Stegostoma tigrinum: one gene and its partners. The protein of the gene in region 1 interacts with the protein of each later gene in a biochemical or structural test. Links are inferred from orthologs where the notes say so. Each region holds a gene or a part of one and is shown in the gene's direction. Other genes may lie near its edges.

Region 1 (7,644 bases):
GCCACAAGGGCTATCTGAGTGGCAGACAACAAGCCACTATTTAATCTTAATAAGAAATTCGTCTTACAAGTCAAGGTGTAGTTTATTGCATGAGAGCAATAGGTTCCAAGTTATATTACGCTGTTAGGCATAATTACAAAAAGTATCAGGAGCCAGAGTTGACACACCTATCTCCATCGGGACCTCATTTCAGGCTTTTTGTCTCCACCTAAAGACTGCTTGACATCATTGGATTGGATGCTGCTTGCTGCAGCTTTAACATTAACTGCTTCAGAATCATCTTACATAACTGGATGTATTGGACAATATTCCACATTGCTGACTAAGTGCTGATGTTGTAGTTGTATTGGAACAGCTTGGTTAGGATTGTAACTAGTTTTGGGGCACAGGTCTTCAGCTCTAAAGGCAGGATTTTTTAAAAAATTCACAACCTTGCTGTGTCCAGTCTGTTCAGCTATTTCTTGATACCATGTGACATGATACAAATTGGCTGAAGGTTGACTTTTATGATCTTGGAAACCTCAAAAGGAATCCAACATAGTCAACCCATTAGCTCTTCTCACTGAAAATGGTTGCAAAATCCTCAGCCTTCTCTTTGAATCTGTGCTCCCCAATTATTAAGGACAGAGATATTTATGGAGACTTCTTCTCCAAGTAGTTGTTTAATTTCCTACCACCAATCTTAATTCGATTTGGCAGAATTGAAATGTTTTGATTTGGCCCATTGATTGGGGAATCATTTAGCCCAACCAATAGCATGTTGCTTTTGCTATTTTGATGCACGTTGCCCAATGCAGTACGTTTACAAGGTTCTATTTCCCAAGAACCTTACACAGGATTATATATGAACAGTAGCACAGAAAGAAGTGTCATGAGGCCTGAATTGAGTAAAAGAACTCATCGGCCAATAGCCAAGAATGTGCACACCCTGGAAAGTCCACCTTCATCGGATTTGGAACAGTTAAATTGCTTAGCAACATCCAAATCAGAACCAATCAAAATAAACGTCTGGTTAAGAAGTCAACCGGTTTTAATGGAGGTTCATATCGGTGCAGCTGTATCAGTGATTGCAGAACTAGTCTTTGACAAAATTTGCTCTGGACCCTTAAATTTGCATAAGATCTCGACTGGACTGAGAACCTACACCAGGGAATCTTTACATATTAAGGTACAATTTCAGTTCCAGTCCCATATGGGAAGCAACTAGCTCAGTTAACAATGATTATAGTAAAAGGCTCAGTCCGAAGCCTGATGGGGAGAAATTGGTTGAGGAAGATTCACCTTGGTTGGCTCAACATTTTTGGATTGGAAAATGGCTGCCTGATTGAAGCCCTAATTAAATACTTGGAAGTTTTTCAGGGACGTCCAGAGACTATCAAAGGAGTCAAGGCCACCTTATATTTTGACCAGGAAACAATTCCATGATTCTGCAGGCACACCCAATGCTAATTGTCTTACGGGCAAAAGTAGAGGCAGAAATCATGAGGCTGGAAAGTGAAGGAATCATCAAACCAGTACAGTTTGCAGAATGGGCAGCACCGGTAGTACCGATTATGAAGCCCAATGGATCAGTGCACCTTGTGGAGATTTTAAACAAACAGTAAACTGCTTCTTGCACTGAATTAATACCCAATCCGTCACATAGAGGACTTATATTCCAAACTGGCTGGAAGCTGTCCTTAACAAAGCTGGGCAAGAACTGTGCAAACTTACAATTGCGGTTAGATGAGAATTCCCAGACATATGCTACAATTAATACCCATAAGGGTTTGTACTGATATACAAGATTTGGCGTACCTTCAGCCTGCACTATTTTTCAGTAGAGAATGGAGAACATTTTACAAAGTCTACTCCAAGTCGCCAATTATCTGGATGATGTGCTAATAACTGGGAAGACCAATAAAGAGTACTTAAAAAGAATTTGGACATATTGCTACAAATTTCTCCCAGGTGCCCAAATGCCTTAGAAGGAAAAAATTTGTATTCTAGACACTCTAAGTGACCTATTTGGGCTACTGACAAAACCGGGTTACACCCTTGGTAGATACTACGAGGGTAATCAAAGGCGGTCCGGCTTGCACATCTGTACTGGAGCTTAGGTCCTTGCTTAGATCCATAAATTATTACATAGTTGGATGTTATGTTGAGGTTGTACAGAATGTTGGTGAGGCTTCTTCTTGAGTATTGTATCCAGTTCTGGTCACCCTGTTACAGGAAGGATATTATTAAATAGGGGGGGGTTAAGAAGAGATTTACCAGAATGTTACCGGGAATGGAAAGTTTGAGTTATGAGGGGAAGTTGGATAAGCTGGGGCTTTTTTCACTGGGATTTATGAGGTTGAAGTGCAACCTTATTGAGGTTCATAAAATTATGAGGGGTATAGATAAGTCGAATGGCAGGTGTCTTTTCACTAGGACGTGGGATCTCAAGACCAGGGGCCATAATTTTAAATTGAGGGAAGAAAAACTTAAAAAAAGACATGGGGGCATTTTTTTTTTACAGGAAGTACTTCATATGTCCAATGGGCTTCCAGAGGAAGTGGTGGACGCGAGTACAGTTACAAGGTTTAAAACACATTTTGGTAAGTATGTAATTAGGAAATGTTTGGAGGAATATGGGACAAGTGCAAGGAGGTGGAACTAGTTTAGTTTGGGATCATGGTTGGCATAGACTGGTCAGATTGAAGGATCTGTTTCCGTGTTGTATGACCCTATGACTATATAAGTACTTCCTAAAGTTGAATGGCATTCGGCATATAAGAGTAGCTCCATGCCAGCCATCATCCAATAGTCTGGCAGAAAGAGCAGTCTAAACTCTAATGGAAGACTTCAAGGAACAGCTTACATCTTCACTCGATACCAAAATGTTCTGGTTCCTACTTGATTATCAGACCACGTCCCTCATGCAACTACAGGGATAGGTCCAGCAGAGTTGCTAACAGGGAGGAAACTCCACACCGGGTTAAACCTGATATTCCAAGACTTGGGGCATGGCAGGGGTGGGGGAGAAATGGCTGGACACAAGACTCCCCTCGGTAAGAGACAGCTTACTTCAGGGGATAAAGTTCGATGTAAGATTCACAGAAATGACCCTGCATGGGTAAGAGGCATGGCCAATGCAAGGTCTGGTCCCGTGACACACAAAGTTCAAGTAGGTGAGGTGGTCCTGAACAAGCATGTGGTCATCAATAAAGCTACAAACGCACAAATAGGTCAGCAAAAAATAACCAGCACCTCAGAGTAGCCAGAAAGGCTGTCTGGACCTGTGGGCTCTCCGTCTAAATCTAGCCTTGAAGAAGTCTTGGAGTCTGAGACGGACATGGTGGACGTTGCAGCCTCGATGCCTTTACCACCTGACACCCTGGGTGCAATAGGCGAGCTATGACCTGGAGCACACTGCCCGTATCTGATGCTGAGTCAGAGGAACTGGACTCTGTAGGAAAACACCCCAGTGCAGGGTACAAGAAAAAGAGCCTGCCTCCTTTCCCGGATTTAGATTTGATGTAGGAGTTGGATGTTATATTGAAATTAGGTCAGCCAGGCGGACTTCCTAGAATATGAGTTCCCTATCTGGTGCTTTTAATCTGCTCCAGTCAGGGAGCCCTGGCTGACAGCTACAAACAGGAGCATCAGAGGTTCTGTTCACTCTGACAGCTGGTTCTGTGGAATCCGGACCAGTTTGAAATACCATGCATGTGTAAATAAAGAGCAACTTGGTGATGAGATACCGGCCTCTGTGGAGTTAATTCAGTCTGTTTGGCTGTCTAGGGCTGAAGGTCTAGAATTCTCTGGCAAATGGTGTCTGTCTCTTCCTCTCCTCTTGCAAGACATTCCTTAAAACCTTGGGATGTGGCTAAACTTTTGATCAGCTGTCCACATTAAGTGGGCATAGCGTCAAACTTGGTTTGCAAACATCGTTGTATAAGGCTCTGGAATGCTTTCCAAAGGTGCCACAGAAACTCAAGTCGCTGTTGTTTGGCTTGTGTCCATTCCTTCTGCATGATAACACCCCTGCAAAGTGCCTTTGGACTATTTACTAATTCAAAGGTGCCACATGAAATAAGTTGTTGCAAAAGCTTGGAGTAACTTAACCTGCTGCTCTGATCGTGAAGCCCTGACATCAGAAGAAACCACTGTGACATCATTTGGCTTGATGAGAGTTGTTGCTGTGCTAACTTTTCTATAGTTGATGGTCCACTGAGTTTTTGAAAGGGGTGGGGGGAAGGTGTGTCCTTTGGGTGAAGTCTGGGGTTGGATGTGGAACAGGAAGGGTGTGTGCGTATGTCTGTTCAGCTTCTGTTGAGAGGAATTGCCTTAACTTTCCAACAACTACAAAGCAAGAGTAAAGTTTATCCCCTCTCTTCCTGGGAGGAAGGAGTCTGATGCCCCCAGGGAGGGTGCTCAGGGGGCTGGTTGGATGGGTTGGGGAGAGTTTGGGCAAAGAGGGAGGCGTGTCTGTGCTATTTAAATCAGCTCTTTGGTGCAGCTGAAGCCACCAATTGTGAGGGCAAGGCAATTGAAATGTAAATTCGCCTCTAAGTTAAATCCAAGTGCATGCGCAGTACGTCGAAACTGGGACTTAGACGTTGTACAGGGGGTTGGAGCAGTTCAATCTGAGCAGGTCTTTGGTGTGTATAGAACTCAACTCCTCACTAACTCCACAAAAAAACCCTATAGAATAATCAGAAAAGAAACATCCTCCAACAATGAGCGTTGATCACCTCTCCCAGGTAGGTGGAACGACCTTCCAGACCGTGCGTTTTATAAAACCCCGTGTCTTTTATTTCCCCCCCCCCAAAAAAACATATATTTGATGACTTGAAACTTGTGAAAAAAATTCATCTGTCTCTCACTTTGATGGTTCGTGGCCCTTTTGATTGTAAGGAAGCAAAGTACTAACGTGGATTTTTCCCCTTTTTTTCTTGTGTTCACAGCTCAATACGGATTCCCGCTTGAACGGTGAGTATTTGAGGTGAAAATTGCTTTTATTTAATTTGTTCGTTACCCCCTCATTACCCCCCCCCTCCCTCGACCACCACCTCCCTCGACCTTTCCCTCTCCTCCTGTTTTCTCTCTGAGGGAAGAACAAGAGGATCAGACATGGCGTCCAGAGACTAAGTCCCGTCTACGTGCCCACAAGCCCTATTGTTCAAATCAGCCTCCAAAATAACCGCCTTGCCGGCTCCCCAGCGAGCCCTTTCCCCCGCCGACCGCCTCCACTACACCCAGAGTCTGGCGTGAGGCTGCCCGAGGGCTGTTGGGGGTTTCGGCCGGGCCGGCATCGCGAGCGAAAAGCCGGCTTTTCGGCCGTTAGGACTTAGTCTCTGCGCCATTTTATTTTTTCTGACTGTGTGTGTGTCAGTTGCTTCGTGCATGTTGTTAAGAGCGAGGCTCCCTTCTCTTTTTTTTTAAATATATAAAACACACCGACAGCAATGTGCCGGGCATTTAAATAAGAAGGCAGGAGGAACGAGGAAGAAAGGTTTAGAATTCTGAGAGGTGGGGGGTCTAGAAGACACACAAAAGGGATGGCGGCAGAAATTGCAACTTGTTTTTTTCAATGCAGTTTGCATTTTATGCCTTTTTTATATGGGGGGGGGGTGATGGAGCAGCAATGCCTCTACTCACATGGTGGCAGCACCGTGAAGGTTATGATGTATTTTTATATATTTTTTAAAAGCAGTATTTTGTAAGATTCCCTTTTTTTAAGTTTGCATTGCATGGTTTTTTTCCCCCCTCTCTTGCCTGCCCCTAGGTTTTTTAAAAAAAGACTTTCTCGATTTGCGTTGAATTTTTTTATCTAGTTTGAGGTTTTCGATACTTCTGGAAGCTTTTTTTTACTAAGGAAAATAGGGGTTATCTGCTTAACCTTTTGAAAAAGAATCGGTGCTGGGATAATGATTGTCATGTCTTCAAATAAGAGATTGTAAGCATTGTCATGATTGTTCTGTGCAGTGGTGACATTGTTTCAGAAAATTTTCCATACCCTTTTAAGTTGTTTCCTTTCCCCAAAAAAAGCACTAGTCTTTCCCAAAGTCTACTCAGACTTACAGGGCATTGCTGGGTTGGTTCATGGGGAGAGGGTATTTTTAAATAGCTTTGTGATCAATTATATTCCATCTTGCAGCTCATCTACAGATATGCAATCGAGATCCTTTCTGTGTGAGGCTTAAAATTATTGTACTAATGTGTGATGATTTAAGATATTGATCCAGTTAAAAGTTTTCAGTTTTGAAAGATTGCAGTTCTAATGAGATCAAGGATGATGCAGGATGCAAAAAAATGGAAACATATATGTAATTTGAAGGATCTTAACATTTGTTGAAATACCCTTTTTCAATATACTATTCTTTGGCATTCAGAATGATTTACAAAGTCAGTTGGACTTTGCATTATCATTTTGAAGCATAAAAGGATCTATGAAATGTGCATTGAAGTATGACATCTTCCCTTTTAAGATTCAAATTGCCCAATAGCAACTGTGTTTTAATTTTTCAGCATGTTGAAGCCATTCTGTTAAATGACAAGCTGCTGTGCTAGCACACATGATTGAATGCTTGAAGAAGGAAGTGAGGTTTTGGGGAGGTGCAGTAATAGAGAATTGAGTTTAGTTGAAGAAACTGAGTATTTAAAATGAATGGACAGTGGAATGCTGTTGGATTTTTCCTTGGCAAGTTATACTGCTGTAGGATATTGATAAAGAATAAAACTAGAACTCTTTCAGAAAGAAACATTTAAAGTTTGATTCTGCTCATTGAGGTGCTGTGTCTTGGTGATGAATTGGATTTTACTCCAGATTTCATTTGAAGAACAAGGTGTGATTTGAGAAGCTGCTTGTCTGAATGCAAATATCACTGAATTTGAATGGCTGTTACATAGGGTACCGGTTAAGATTGTTTGCAATTTTTCTTTTGTCAAAGCAGTAACTCATAATATGGCTCCATATTTCTGATGCTTTTTGGTATTTTATACAACTATTCAGCCAGGTACGTTGAGCAAGGCATGTTCATTCCTTCCTTGAAGGCAAATTTGGGCACATTAGGGAGATCAGAAGCAGGAACTCTGAACTCTCTTCCAAGCTGAGCACCTGCTGTGGGATGAATTTTGTCTGTTCTGTATCCATTCTGTCTTTACCATAACTAATGTGGTAGACTAATATTTCTGGCTTTCAGCTGAAATTCCTCTCATGTTTTCTTCACTGACCAGTGATCTGCAGTGACAAAATCATTGCAAAAGCTGAGGCCATGTGGTTCCTTTATCTGGTAACCTTCCAATCATTCTTCTGCATTCTTGATTTCTTTTTTCCTAGAGCCCACGTCACTGGTAGTATTCATGGTCAACAGGTGGAAAGCACAGAATTCTGCATAGTCTATTGCAACTAACTTTTCTCGGACTTGAAAGCCCTTAAAGTACAACTCTCCTTCCTTTGAGTTACAGTCTCATGTTAAGTTGTGATTTCATGGGTATTGGGGATTTACACTCCAGTGGCCACTCTTTGTAAATGAGCCTGGATTCATGGGTAGTGCACAGCAAAAACTGATCTGACTAGAATATCATCCCAATTGGAATCACTAGATAATCTGTGAAATCTATTCAAATTCAGCTTAGGGGCTGTTCCCGTTGTTGCCTCCTCTACATCGGGGA
Region 2 (7,512 bases), on another chromosome or scaffold:
CCTCACTCTGACACTTCCCCCTGTCTCCCCTCTCCCTCACTCTGTCACTTCCCTCTGTCTCCCCTCTCCCTCACTCTGTCACTTCCCTCTGCCTCCCCTCTCCCTCACTCTGTCACTTCCCTCTGTCTCCCCTCTCCCTCACTCTGACACTTCCCCCTGTCTCCCCTCTCCCTCACTCTGTCACTTCCCTCTGTCTCCCCTCTCCCTCACTCTGTCACTTCCCTCTGTCTCCCCTCTCCCTCACTCTGACACTTCCCTCTGTCTCCCCTCTCCCTCACTCTGTCACTTCCCTCTGTCTCCCCTCTCCCTCACTCTGACACTTCCCTCTGTCTCCCCTCTCCCTCACTCTGTCACTTCCCCCTGTCTCACCTCTCCCTCACTCTGTCACTTCCCTCTGTCTCCCCTCTCCCTCACTCTGTCACTTCCCCCTGTCTCCCCTCTCCCTCACTCTGTCACTTCCCTCTGTCTCCCCTCTCCCTCACTCTGACACTTCCCTCTGTCTCCCCTCTCCCTCACTCTGTCACTTCCCCCTGTCTCCCCTCTCCCTCACTCTGTCACTTCCCCCTGTCTCCCCTCTCCCTCACTCTGTCACTTCCCCCTGTCTCCCCTCTCCCTCACTCTGACACTTCCCTCTGTCTCCCCTCTCCCTCACTCTGTCACTTCCCCCGTCTCCCCTCTCCCTCACTCTGTCACTTCCCTCTGTCTCCCCTCTCCCTCACTCTGACACTTCCCTCTGAGTCCCCTCTCCCTCACTCTGTCACTTCCCTCTGTCTCCCCTCTCCCTCACTCTGACACTTCCCTGTCTCCCCTCTCCCTCACTCTGTCACTTCCCTCTGTCTCCCCTCTCCCTCACTCTGACACTTCCCTCTGTCACCCCTCTCCCTCACTCTGTCACTTCCGTCTGTCTCCCCTCTCCCTCACTCTGTCACTTCCCTCTGTCTCACCTCTCCCTCACTCTGTCACTTCCCTCTGTCTCCCCTCTCCCTCACTCTGACACTTCCCCCTGTCTCCCCTCTCCCTCACTCTGTCACTTCCCTCTGTCTCCCCTCTCCCTCACTCTGTCACTTCCCTCTGCCTCCCCTCTCCCTCACTCTGTCACTTCCCTCTGTCTCCCCTCTCCCTCACTCTGACACTTCCCCCTGTCTCCCCTCTCCCTCACTCTGTCACTTCCCTCTGTCTCCCCTCTCCCTCACTCTGTCACTTCCCTCTGTCTCCCCTCTCCCTCACTCTGACACTTCCCTCTGTCTCCCCTCTCCCTCACTCTGTCACTTCCCTCTGTCTCCCCTCTCCCTCATTCTGTCACTTCCCTCTGTCTCCCCTCTCCCTCACTCTGACACTTCCCTCTGTCTCCCCTCTCCCTCACTCTGTCACTTCCCCCTGTCTCACCTCTCCCTCACTCTGTCACTTCCCTCTGTCTCCCCTCTCCCTCACTCTGTCACTTCCCCCTGTCTCCCCTCTCCCTCACTCTGTCACTTCCCTCTGTCTCCCCTCTCCCTCACTCTGACACTTCCCTCTGTCTCCCCTCTCCCTCACTCTGTCACTTCCCCCTGTCTCCCCTCTCCCTCACTCTGTCACTTCCCCCTGTCTCCCCTCTCCCTCACTCTGACACTTCCCTCTGTCTCCCCTCTCCCTCACTCTGACACTTCCCTCTGTCTCCACTCTCCCTCACTCTGTCACTTCCCCCTGTCTCCCCTCTCCCTCACTCTGTCACTTCCCTCTGTCTCCCCTCTCCCTCACTCTGACACTTCCCTCTGTCTCCCCTCTCCCTCACTCTGTCACTTCCCTCTGTCTCCCCTCTCCCTCACTCTGACACTTCCCTCTGTCTCCCCTCTCCCTCACTCTGTCACTTCCCTCTGTCTCCCCTCTCCCTCACTCTGTCACTTCCCCCTGTCTCCCCTCTCCCTCACTCTGTCACTTCCCTGTCTCCCCTCTCCCTCACTCTGTCACTTCCCCCTGTCTCCCCTCTCCCTCACTCTGTCACTTCCCTCTGTCTCCCCTCTCCCTCACTCTGACACTTCCCTCTGTCTCCCCTCTCCCTCACTCTGTCACTTCCCCCTGTCTCCCCTCTCCCTCACTCTGTCACTTCCCCCTGTCTCCCCTCTCCCTCACTCTGACACTTCCCTCTGTCTCCTCTCTCCCTCACTCTGTCACTTCCCTCTGTCTCACCTCTCCCTCACTCTGTCACTTCCCTCTGTCTCCCCTCTCCCTCACTCTGACACTTCCCTCTGTCTCCCCTCTCCCTCACTCTGACACTTCCCCCTGTCTCCCCTCTCCCTCACTCTGTCACTTCCCCCTGTCTCCCCTCTCCCTCACTCTGACACTTCCCTCTGTCTCCCCTCTCCCTCACTCTGTCACTTCCCCCTGTCTCCCCTCTCCCTCACTCTGTCACTTCCCTCTGTCTCCCCTCTCCCTCACTCTGACACTTCCCTCTGTCTCCCCTCTCCCTCACTCTGTCACTTCCCTCTGTCTCCCCTCTCCCTCACTCTGACACTTCCCTCTGTCTCCCCTCTCCCTCACTGTCTCTACCTGGCTTGCTCTATCTCCAACCACATTTCTGGGTTTTCTCTCTCCATCTATGTCATCCATTCCCTCAGACTTCTCTCTCTCCCCGATTTCCTTTTGCTGCTCATAGAACATAGAACATTACAGAATAGCACAGGCCCTTCGGCCCTCGATGTTGTGCCGACCTGTCATACCGCTCATTTGAGTCAAAGTCTTTCCTTGTTTATCAGGCTGATTCTGAGCTCTTGGTTTTAATCTTCTTCAGACAATATTCCTCTTGTATTTGTCACTCCAACTTCAGCTGCTAGTCAAGCTGTCCCTTACCGTCCCCCTGTGTCTATTTATCTTGGTCCCTCTGTGTCTATTCTTCATGTATTGCCCGTCTCTGCGCGGCCTCTCTCTATTTCAATGTTTTATCAAGACCTCTTTCCTTTCATTCTTCCTTCCATCTTTCCTTTCATTCTTCCTTCCATCTTTCCTCTTTATGATCTATTGAACTTGCACGCTACCTTCTCTGAGTCGTCCAAACCCCGTTATGCTGCAGCTTTCCGTAGTTCTTGCCTGTTTAAATGATCATTATTCTCGTATTCTTCCTGTCAAAGTGCATTAACCCATAATTTCCCACATCACATTCCATCTACAAAGTTGCTCTGCCACTCAATGTCCTCTCAATACCTGAACTTTATCCCTAATCCTTCCATTTTGTCCAACTACTAGAAGACTATCTTCAGTCCGTGCTCACGAAACACCCGTCACCACTGGATCTTCTCTTACAAAGTATCCTTACGCGTGGAAGCTTATTCAATGACCTTTTTTGTTTGGAAATTCAAATATATTTTGGACACTGTTTCCCCTTTGTTGCACCTTACTTAAACAATTGATATCAGTGCCTATGCATAGAATCACAGATACCTAGGAGCGAATCTAATCAAGGTGCTCAGATGATTTATAGGTAAAATCACAGAGACCTGGGATTGAGATAGAGATTGTAATCTAATCGAGGGGTTCGGGGTGGTTTGTACAGAGAAGAAGATACCCCGGGAGGGAGTGCACTGCATTGAACCGTATGTTTATGAAGCTTGTAAAACCTGTATTTGGAATGCCATGGGAACCCAGTTTCAGGAGGTTTGGGGCTAGAAGGAAGATTTCTGAGGCTGGAAAAGGGCCGAATGCAGAATGGAAAGTTGATGCATTTGTTGCGGGGTTTTTGTTTGAGTGACTAAGGGATGGGTGTGCTGTTGTCCCGCCAGCTGTACATTGGCAGGCGCCTGGCCCATTCTTTCCTGACCTTCTCTGAACAAGTTTCCCAGCAGCTGAGCTGACTGAGAGAGGTGGACGGGATGTGTAGAACTCGGGGGAAGGGGGGGGGGGGCGCGTCCTGTCCATTCTCAGGGGAAATGATGGCAGGGGGAAGCGGATGGAGACTGCGACGGTCCTATTCCCTTAACCAGCTCGCCCTGCCTCTCTTTCCCCAGGGAAGCGGAATGTCCCTGGCCTCCTCCAGCTCCTCATCCCTGCAGTATCTTCAAGCGTCGCCGCCGCCTCCCCCCCCCCCCCCCCCCACACCCCACACCAACCTTGTTGCGACAGTTCGCCTCTCCCAGCTGCATTGCCCCGGGGTGGGGAGAGCTGGCCGTAGATTCGCTCTCTGCCATTCCAGAACGACATGTTGGCCAGCTTTTTCTCTCTCTCATGCAAACACACACACACACACACACACACACACACACAGGCTGCAAAAGAGCAGCGCTCGGTGCTCAGAGAACTGGGACCTTAGCTGGGGCACAGTGTGGACGGCAGCGCGGATATATGCCAGTCCCTAGAGCCTGTGGCACCAGCTTCCTGACTGCCTGCGTTGTCAGCTACAACAGCACAGTGTTCCCCCCCCACCCCACCTCCTGTGCAGGGCAGGGCTTGGGACGGCGACCTGATGCCTGCCTCCCAGCCACCTTCTATAAGAAGCTCCATCTCCCTCCGTCCTTCCCACCCTCCCATTTGTCCTCGATTTCCAAAACTCAAAACTGGTGGAGGTCGTGGATTTGTCAGAGGCACGCACTCACAGACAGACACACACACGCAAAAGACAGAGCATGGCTTCATTGAGACGTGCTTTCACGTCGTTTCTCATCCAGGACATCTTGTCGCTTCAGGAAACTTCACCAGGCAGCTTTCCCAGGGGATTCCGTGGGAGCAGGGAGGAGGCAGGACAGCCCAACGCGGAGCCCCGCTCCCACAGCGGCCTGGAGCTGGCATTCACAGGTCAGGCTCTGGGGAGCTCAGGTAGGTTGGGGTGGGGGTGGGGGGGGGGGGGTGGGGGGTGCGGCTAGGGACCCCCCTCAGGCTCAGACCTCAGGTCACACCGCTCCATCGCCGCTGGACCGAGTCAGTGCAAGGCGAATTCAGGATATCTATCCAAATTCAGTTCACATTGGACCCCAGCTCTAAGTCAATCACGTCCCTACCGTGGGGAGACTGAACCTAGCCTCTGTGTCTGTGTGTCAGGGGTTTCTTCTGTTTCTTTCACACCTCCAAAATTTGTCCCGGGCCCTCTGTTAAAATGCTGTGGTTTTGAGTCAATGGGCTGGGTCAGGCACGGACTGGGGCCTGAGGGACGGGCGGGAGGGTGGGGAAGAGGATGCAATCTCAGAGTAACGGATCACTCACTCGACAAAAAGCAGGAACCTTTTTTTGCTTTCTCTCTGTCGTGAAGTGAAACTGACCACATGAGCGCTGCATGGGATGTATTGTTCAGTATGATCATGTCTGAGAGAAACAGGTTTTTAATCAGCAAGGCTGATAAGGATGTTGCCAGGGTTGGAGGGTTTGAGCTACAGGGAGGGGCTGGATAGTCTGGGGCTATTTTCCCTGGAGGATTGGAGGCTGAGGGGGTGACCTTATAGACGTTTATAAAATCATGAGGGTCACGGTTAGGGTGAATATCTAAGGCCTTCTTCCCTTGGAGGGGTAGTCCAAAACTCGACTGCACAGATTTTCTGGTGAAGAGGGGAAGGATTTAACAGGGATGTGAGCGGCAATTTTTCCACACAGAGGGTGGTGCGTGTATGGAATGAGCTGCCAGAGGAAGTGGTCGAGGCTGGTACAGTTACAGCATTTAAAAGGCATTTGGGCACGAATGGGAAGGGTTCAGAGGGAGATGTGCCAAATGCAGGGAAATGGGAAATACTTTAGCTTGGGAAACGTGGTCAATGTGGATAAGATGTTTGTTTCCGAGCTGTGTGACTCCAGGACTCTCAGACCAGGTCAGACGGAACATGGGAGAACAGAGGTAGCTTTGAGGGAAAGATCTTAGATTCTGAGAGCCTCACCCGAACCATAATCCCAACCCAAACCGTTACCCCCACCCTGTGGCTGAGGATGGTGTGTTTGCTCTCAGACGAGGGAGTCACTGCCTGAAAACAAGGGCTGAGCCATTCAGAACAGCCAGGAGATACAGAGTGTTTTGTTCTCATCTCCAGGAGGCTGCTTAGCTCTCTCTGGGAAAAGGCTCCACAGGTGGAGGCTCTGCCGATGATGGAGACAGAGATGCCGAGGTTCTGGTGGTACAAGGGGCAGCCGGGAAGATCTGACTGACTGGTCGAGCAGGCTGCTGGGGGGAACAGGTGATTGTGACCACGACCCCAAGCACAGGGTAGGCCCAGCCTGCTACTGATGTTTGCTGACTCCTCAGCCCAGAGCTATCATGGACTAGACTGGCAGAAGGTTCTCCTTCTGGGCCATTTATTCAATGGGTTGAGAAATCATTGGGAATATTGCCATAGAAATGCTGAGATTTGCAGCGTGTTCTGCGATAGGGTGAAGTTCCAGATCCGGAGCATTGTGGGGTCCCTCAAACTGGGGCCATCATTGTCCCCCTCTCAGAGTACACCCAGCCTCTCTCGCTGTTAGACGAGTGCATTCCTGCGGGTCTCCAAGAATCAGCACCAAGCCTGCAGTGCTGCAAGCCCACACCACACAGTTCTGACTGACTGCAACCCAACAGTGGAACACGAACCTGGAATTTGGATGGCAGCACATGGACCTTGTGATGGGACTGGACCCAGAATGTTCACAATGTATGTGACTGACCAATGAGAGAATCATCAAGGGACAGGAGTGACACAAGGAGGGGGGACTGGAGCTGCGAGGGATAATATAGAACTGATATAGATGGGGAAGTGAAGGAGTGAGATGCTGGCATGTGCCAGTGGGCGAGCGTGAGGAGCAGACATATGCCAGTGGGTGAGTGTGAGGAGCTGGCATGTGCCAGTGGGTGAACGTGAGGAGCTAGCACGTGCCAGTGGGCGAGCGAGAGTTGGAGATGGCATGTGGCAATGGGAGAGCGACTGGAGATGGCCTCTGTCAATGGGAGAGTGAGTGGTGGAGATGGCGTGTGACAATGGGAGAGCGAGCGGAGATAGTGTGTGTCAATGGTAGAGCAAATGGAGATGGTGTGTGTCAATGGGAGAGTGAGTGGTGGAGATGGCGTGTGACAATGGGAGAGCGAGCGGAGATAGTGTGTGTCAATGGTAGAGCAAGTGGAGATGGTGTGTGTCAATGGGAGAGCGTGTGGAGATGGCGTGTGTCAATGGCAGAGCGTGTGGAGATGGTGTGTGTCAACTGGAGAGCGACAGGTGGAGGTGGCATGTGTCAATGGGAGAGTGTGTGGAGATGGCGTGTATGAATGGGAGAGCGAGTGGAGATGGTATGTGTCAATGGGAGAGCGTGTGGAGATGGCGTGTATGAATTGGAGAGCGAGTGGAGATGGTGTGTGTCATTGGGAGAGTGAGTGGAGATGGAGTGTGTCAATGGGAGAGCATGTGGAGATGGACTGTGTCAATGGGAGAGCAAGTGATGGAGATGGTGTGTGTCAATGGGACAGCGTGGAGATGGTGAGTGTCAATGGGAGAACGTGTGGAGATGGACTGTGTCAATGGGAGAGCAAGTGATGGAGATGGTGTGTGTCAATGGGACAGCGTGGAGATGGTGAGTGTCAATGGGAGAGCGAGTGGA
Region 3 (7,199 bases), on another chromosome or scaffold:
AAAAAAACTTGGCAGGTGGAATTTAGAGTGGGGAAAATGAGAGGTCTTACATTTTGGCAGGAACAATAGGAGAACTGAAAATTACTTAAATGGAGAAAGACTAGAGAAAACGACAACTCAGAGGGATTTGGGAGACCTCACAAAAGACTCAAAAAGCTACCATATAAGTTCAGCAGGTACTAGGGAAGGCACATGGAATGTTGGCCTTCATTTCAAAGGGAGTGAAGTATAAAAACCATGAAGTCTTGCTAAAACTATGCAAGGCACTAGTCAGACCACAGCTGGAATATTGTGAACTGTTTTGAGACCCTTATCTACAGAAAATACACTTGCATAAGAGGCAGTCCAGAGAAGGTTCACCAAACTGATACCAGTGATGGAGGGAAGACTTGTGAGGACAGGTTGAGGAGGTTGGGCCTGTGTTCATTGGAGTTTGGAAGAATAAGAGGTCACCTTTAGAAAAGATACGAGTCTCTTTGGAGATTTAACAGGATAGATGTGGAAAGGTTGCTTCCCCTTGCGCGAGTGTCTCGAACCACAAGATAATCTCAGAATAGGGGATCACTTTTTACAAAGATGATGAGGAATTCTGGCTTTCAGAGGGCAGTTAACTTGTGGAACTATTTACTGCAGAGACTGGGTTTTTATGTAAGTTCAAAGCTGAGACAGATAGATTTTTAATCAATAAGGGAATCAAGGGTTATGGGGAAAAGGCATGAGGGTGGAGTTGAAGATTATTGGATTAACCATAATCTCACTGAATGGCAATAGCAGGCTCTTTGGGCTGAAATGCCCACCTCTGCTCCTACTCTTACGCTCACTACAAATCAAAATGATCAAAATCCAAGAGTTAGACAGAGGGCAAAACAATGGCAAATTGAATTTTAATACAAGGTTTTGCAGAGGAATACACATCTATGGATGCAAAAAATGTGCTTCCTGTTTCAATTAACCGATTTGCGATGCAAAGTAATGCCAACAGCATGGCTGCAATTCCTGCACCATCTGAGGTTAGGATGAAACATAGAAACATAGAAGATAGGAACAGGAGGAGGCCATTTGACCCTTCAAGCCTGCTCTACCATTCTTCACAATCATAGTTGATCATCCAACTCGATAGCCTAATCCTGCTTTCTCCCCAAAACCTTTGATCCTGTTCACCCCAAGGGCGACATCTAGTTGCCTCTTGAATACATTCAATGTTTGACATCAACTGCTTCCTGTGGTAATGAATTCCTCAGGTTCGCCACTTGTTGAGTAGAGAAATATCTTTTCATCTCTGTCCTAAGAAGTCTACTGCAAGTCCTTTTACTGTGACCCCTGGTTCTGGGCACACCCACCATCGGGAACATCCTCCCTGCATCTACCCTCTTCAGTCGTTTCAGAACTTTATAGTCTCTATGAGATCCCCCTCATTCATCCGAACTCCAGCAAAAACAATCCCAACCTAGTGAAAACTCACTCCAACCCTTCTTAAGAAAGGTCCAGACCCGGAACGTCAGCTTTCCTGCTCCTCTGATGCTGCCTTACCTGCTGTGTTCATCAGCTCTACATTTTGTTATCCCAACCTAGTCAATCTCTCCACATACGTCAGACCCGCCATCCCTGGAATCAGCCTGATAAACCTATGCTGCACTCCTTCGAAAGTAAGAGCATCCTTCCTCAGAAAAGTAGACAAAACTGAACACAATATTCTCATCAAGGCCCTGTATAACTGTACCACGCATCGCTGCTCCTGTACTCAATGGTCCCTCCACAAAACATAGAACATAACAGTGCAGTACAGGGCCTTCGGCCCTCAATGTTGCACCGACCTGTGAAACCAATCTGAAACCCACCTAACCTACACTATTCCATTATCATCCATATGTTTATCCAATGACCATTTAAATACCCTTAAAAGTTGGCGAGTCTACTACTGTTGCAAGCAGGGCATTCCACATCCTTACTACTCTCTGAGTAAAGAACCTACCTCTGACATCTGTCCTATTTCTATCACCCCTCAATTAAAAGCTACGTCCCCTCGTGCTAGCCATCACCATCCGAGGAAAAAGGCTCTCACTGTCCACCCCATCTAATCCTCTGATCATCTGGTATGCCTCTATTAAGTCGCCTCTTAATCTTCTTCTCTCTAACGAAAACAGACTCAAGTCCCTCAACCTTTCCTCATAAGACCTTCTCTCCATACCAGGTAAAAGCCTGGTAAATCTCCTCTGCACCTTTTCCAAAGTTTCCACATCCTTCCTATAATGCGGCAACCAGAACTGTACGCAATATTCCAAATGTGGCTGCACCAGAGTTTTGTACAGCTCATGAAACTCAATCCCTCTGCCAATAACACATAACACACCATATGCCTTCTTAACAACCCTATCAACCTGGGTGGCAACCTTCGGGGATCTATGCACATGGACGCCGAGGTCTCTCTGCTCATCCCCATACCAAGAATCTTACCATTAGCCCACTACTCTGTATTCCTGTTACTCCTTCCAAAGTGAATCACCTCACACTTCTCCGCATTAAACTCCATTTGCCACCTCTCAGCCCAGCCCTGCAGCTTATCTATGTCCCTCTGTAACCTGCAACATCCTTCCACACTATCCACAACTCCAGTGACTTTAGTGTCATCCACAAATTTACTAACCCATCCTCTATGCCCTCATCCAGGTCATTTATAAAAATGACAAAAAGCAGTGGCCCCAAAACAGATCCTTGCAGTACACCACTAGTGACTGAACTCCAGGATGACATTTCCCATCAACCATCCCGCTGTCTTCCTACAGCTAGCCAATTTCTGATCCAAACCGCTAAATCATCCTCAATTCCATGCTTCTGTAATTTCTGCAATAGCCCACCATGGGGAACCTTATCAAATGCTTTACTGAAATCCATAAACACCACATCAAACGCTTTACCCTCATCCACCTGTTTCGTCACCTTCTCAAAGAACTCAATAAGATTTGTGAGGCACGACCTACCCTTCACAAAACCATGTTGACTATCCCTAATCAAATTATTCCTTTCTAGACGAATATAAATCCTATCTCTTATAATCCTTTCCAACACTTTACCCACAACCAAAGTAAGGCTCACTGGTCGAAAATCACCAGGATTGTCTCTACTCCCCTTCTTGAACAATGGGACATTTGCTATCTTCCAGTCTTCTGGCACTATTCCTGTAGACAATGACGAGTTAAAGATCAAAGCCAAAAAGGCTCTGCAATCTCCTCCCCAGCTTCCCAGAGAATCCTAGGATAAGTCTCTCTCCTCACCAGCTGTGTAGTGACTCTCGGCTGAAGCTACCAGCGGCCGTCTCTCTCTCTCTCTCTAATGAGAAATTAATGAAAAAATGAAAAATCCCGCAGGACTATGGTGACTTTACTCACTTTAACCCAATGCCCCTGTTCACTCAGCGAAGGTGCCAGCTCTCTAGAATTGCCCCTGGTGCATTCAGCAATCAGAGGCTCATCTCCAGGGCTCTGATGTGGCCAGAACCCCCTCCCTGCTGTCCAGAGATGATACTCACAACGGAATAAATCCAGTCCAGCGTTCGCTTACTCACACGGATCATGGTCCTTGGCTATGGCAACCCGACAAAGCCGATCACTGGAGGCTGCACTCACAAATATCAAAATAAAAGGCCAAGGAGATTTAAAAAGCAAACCAAAGCAAAGCACTCCGGGAAAGACTCGGATCGAACCCGATACGTTAACCCTGCTATTCTCTCTCTCTCTCCACAGATGATGGGTTTCTTCTCCACCTTTTTTTATAATTTGTGATCTAAAATAGCACCACACCGCCTTCTACCACTTTTTGGGTTGGTGCAGTAAATCCCCGTGGCTGAGATATCCTGATTCAGCGAAACCAAAATTCTTCGGCATCGCTGCGTCGGGCAGAAACGACTTCACACCGCTCTCTCAGCCGGTCCTCCGAGGGTCGCGGAGTGGGTCCTCCACTTTCCCGGCGGCCAAAGCGTGACGGTGGGTGGTGCATGTGAAGGCGGAGGCCAGTTGTGGGTCTTCTGACGTCTCGGGCCGGGTAGTCCTCCAGCGTCCCGGCGGCCAGTGCGACGCCGTCACTTACTGCGCTTGTGTGATGGTGTCACCTCCTCACAGGCAGTGGCTTGTCCCCAGACTGAGCCTAAGGGGTAGGGAGTGGGGTGGGTGGGGGCTTTAAGTGGGAATAATCCGAGCAAATGTTCACGGTCGGATCCAGGAGGAAGAGGAGAAGAAGGGGGGCGCGGGATGCTATAGCATTTAAGGAAAAGGAAAAGAGTTGCAGTTACAATACTGTATAATTCGAGTGAAGTGTGTGGAGGATCGGGCAGTGAGCGGCTGCAGCAGGTAAGAGAGATCCTGGGAGGGGTAAACTGCCTGGGTACTGGGGCCAGGCGTAGGCATTCTGGTCTGTCACCTCAGTGAGCACCCCGTGGAACAATTTGTGGAGCTACGAGATGTCAAGGCAGCTAAAATAAAACAATTCGAGGCCAGAGACTTTTAAACCAGAACCTGAGTCAGTGGCATCAATTCTGAGGGAAGGTCGCTGGACTCAAAACATTAACCCTGATTTCTCTGCACGGATGCTGCCAGACCTGCTGAGTTTTTCCAGCAGTTTCTCTTATTGTTTTGGTGGTATTCTTGGTATTCCTTCCGTGGAGGGAGGTTCCAGCTCAATCATGAAATTAAAGAGCCAGACAATTCAGGAAGCAACTCTTCACACAAAAGGTGGTAGAAGTGTGGAATCCTCTCCTTCAAAGCACAATCCTTACATAAGTCTGTGAGCATTATAGATTTTTGCTGGAAGAGTTAGGGGTTTGAGGTGTGGCTGATTGGGGTTCTGCCATCATCTTACTGATGAGGGAAAATATCAGAAGTCACATGATAGCATGTTATAGTCCAACAGATTTATTTGAAATCACGAGCTTTTGAAGTGCTTTCGTAGTCACCTGATGAAGGAGTAGCATGTCAAAAAGATAACTTGGTGTGAAGCTGGATGAATACAGCAGGCCAAGCAGCATCAGAGGAGCAGGAAAGTTTGACGTTTCGGGTCAGGACCCTTCTTCTCTGTAACACTTCAAAAGCTTGTGATTTCAAATAAGCCTGTTGGACAGTAACCTGGTGTCATGTAATGTCTGATTTTGTCCACCCCAGTCCAACACCAGTACCTTCGCATGATGACAGATAAACCAGCCTCAGAGGGCAAAGTATTCTGCCCATTCCTGTATTAGAACGTCTACAAAAGTGTCAGTTACTTTACACCAGCTTTTCTCTCTGTTTAAGCAGAAATCCACTTTTTAGCCATGTAAAGATAACCAGATGTTTGCAATAAAAGATTAGAAATGGCCTGATGTAACCACTGAACAAACCGTTCTTTTGGTTCTGAAATCTGCTTTTGACAGCATGAAAAACTTGTATGAAATACATCTGGGCAAAGTTCTGGGATAGTGAACTCTCATTCTCTAATTTGGCATTTCACTGAGATGTTACAAGGATCGCTGGTGCATGTAAAGGTGGTACCACCTTGTCGTAATTTGAGGTTCCATTTGAGACAGAATAAAGTGAACTACAATCTCTGATCAGAGATAATGGGAACTGCACATGCTGGAGAGCCCAAGATAACAGTGTGAAGCTGGATGAACACAGAAGGCCGAGCAGCGTCTCAGGAGCACAAAAGCTGATGTCTCGGGCCTAGACCCTTCATCAGATGAAGGGTCTAGGCCCGAAACGTCAGCTTTTGTGCTCCTGCGATGCTGCTTGGTCTGCTGTGTTCATCCAGCTTCACACTTTGTTATCTCGAACTATGGTCTCTTTTTATTTCATTCATGGGACGTAGGCATCACTGGCTATGGCTCAGGTTCTGGTTTTAAAAGTCTCTGTCCTCGAATTGTTTTATTTTTGCTGCCTTGTCACCTTGTAGCTCTACAAATTGTAGGCATCACTGGCTGGCCAGTGTTTATTGCTGATTCCTGGAGTGACTTGCTAGGCCATCTCAAAGTGGCATTTCAGGGTCAGTCACATTTCTGTGGATCTGGAGTCACATGTAGGCAGACATTGAATTCAGATTCCACCATCTGCTGTAGCAGATATGAACCTGGATCCCCAAAACATTAATTGAGTTTCTGGATTAATAGTCTAGCAATAATACCCCGAGACCATTAGGATTCTGCATGCAACACCTGTGCCTGTCAATGAGAGCTTCTAAAGCATGAGAAAATACTAACAGACATCAGCATCCACGCATTTGTTTCAAAAATATATTCATTCATAAATTATCTTTAAATAAGCACAACAAGAATTTTGACATGCACCAGAATTTCAATCCAGTTGCAACAAAAAGGTATTTTATAATCGTGAGAGGAAACTATTTACATTTTCATTAAGGTTACAAGGCTATCTTGAAACGTAACATATCTCCCCTCATTATATTTTGGCAGAAGGACTGCCAAGTAAGACTGTAGTCTGTGCCTTGGCAGCAGCTGCCCCAAGCTGTTGTGCATTCCTCAGAATGGAGCCTGGACCTTCGCATGTTCCAGTCTGCAGCGCTCAGTCGAGGTAAACTGTTTGCACTGGAAGACCAACAAGTTTCAGGCAGACTAAAGAGTGTCTGTCATTGAGTCCATGGCCCTCCAAGTGCAGTCACTGTTTGTTTTGGTGTGTGACTTAGAGACTAGCCTATAGATCACAGAGGCCTGTGTCACAGAGCTGCCCAGGATGAAACTTGACAAAAACCACTGCATCTCTCTCCTGACCTTAATTGCAAAGGCACATTCCAGAAAGAGATGTGTGATAGCCACCACAGCAGCATGCGGTTGTGGCCGGAGACTGGCTATGCATGAAGGATCTGACAGCTGATACCCTTTTCATTGCTAGCCAGGCTAGGTCTTGGTGCTTGTTGGAAAGTTCTGGTGACAAGATGACTTCAGTCTTCCATATACAAATGGAGTGAGTGCTGATCCCTTTTATTGATATTGTGACTGCACTGTATATCAGTGGATCTCTGTTTCTGTTTTGGCCAGTTCTTTCCTGCACTATAGCAGGACGAGATACTTTTGTGCATCAAGATTTTGTTTTCAAGAAGGATTATGTCGGTACACCCATTGATTGAATTAGAATCCTGAAAAAAATGGAGAGACAGATGTCCTTGCTTTTTAAATGCAGGCACTGTGTTCAGAAGGGAAATGTTACCCATCAAAAGATAAT

What was found.
Region 2: the proteins of top1a (region 1) and homeobox protein Nkx-3.1 form a complex in vitro, tested with the Homo sapiens proteins (2 studies listed by BioGRID and IntAct). The link is inferred for Stegostoma tigrinum from reciprocal best matches to the Homo sapiens genes TOP1 and NKX3-1.
Region 3: of the proteins of top1a (region 1) and E3 ubiquitin-protein ligase Topors-like, one has a biochemical effect on the other in vitro, tested with the Homo sapiens proteins (2 studies listed by BioGRID). The link is inferred for Stegostoma tigrinum from reciprocal best matches to the Homo sapiens genes TOP1 and TOPORS.

The regions. Positions count from the first base shown.
Region 1 is NC_081372.1:14,189,897-14,197,540, reverse strand, and holds the start of top1a (DNA topoisomerase I, like), read left to right. Parts: upstream 1-4,580; 5' UTR 4,581-4,706; coding exon 4,707-4,730; intron 4,731-4,934; coding exon 4,935-4,959; intron 4,960-7,644. UniProt on the Homo sapiens protein: Releases the supercoiling and torsional tension of DNA introduced during the DNA replication and transcription by transiently cleaving and rejoining one strand of the DNA duplex.
Region 2 is NC_081393.1:5,424,609-5,432,120, forward strand, and holds the start of homeobox protein Nkx-3.1, read left to right. Parts: upstream 1-4,505; 5' UTR 4,506-4,592; coding exon 4,593-4,782; intron 4,783-7,512.
Region 3 is NC_081356.1:30,233,807-30,241,005, reverse strand, and holds the start of E3 ubiquitin-protein ligase Topors-like, read left to right. Parts: upstream 1-4,182; 5' UTR 4,183-4,343; intron 4,344-7,199. UniProt on the Homo sapiens protein: Functions as an E3 ubiquitin-protein ligase and as an E3 SUMO1-protein ligase. Probable tumor suppressor involved in cell growth, cell proliferation and apoptosis that regulates p53/TP53 stability through ubiquitin-dependent degradation.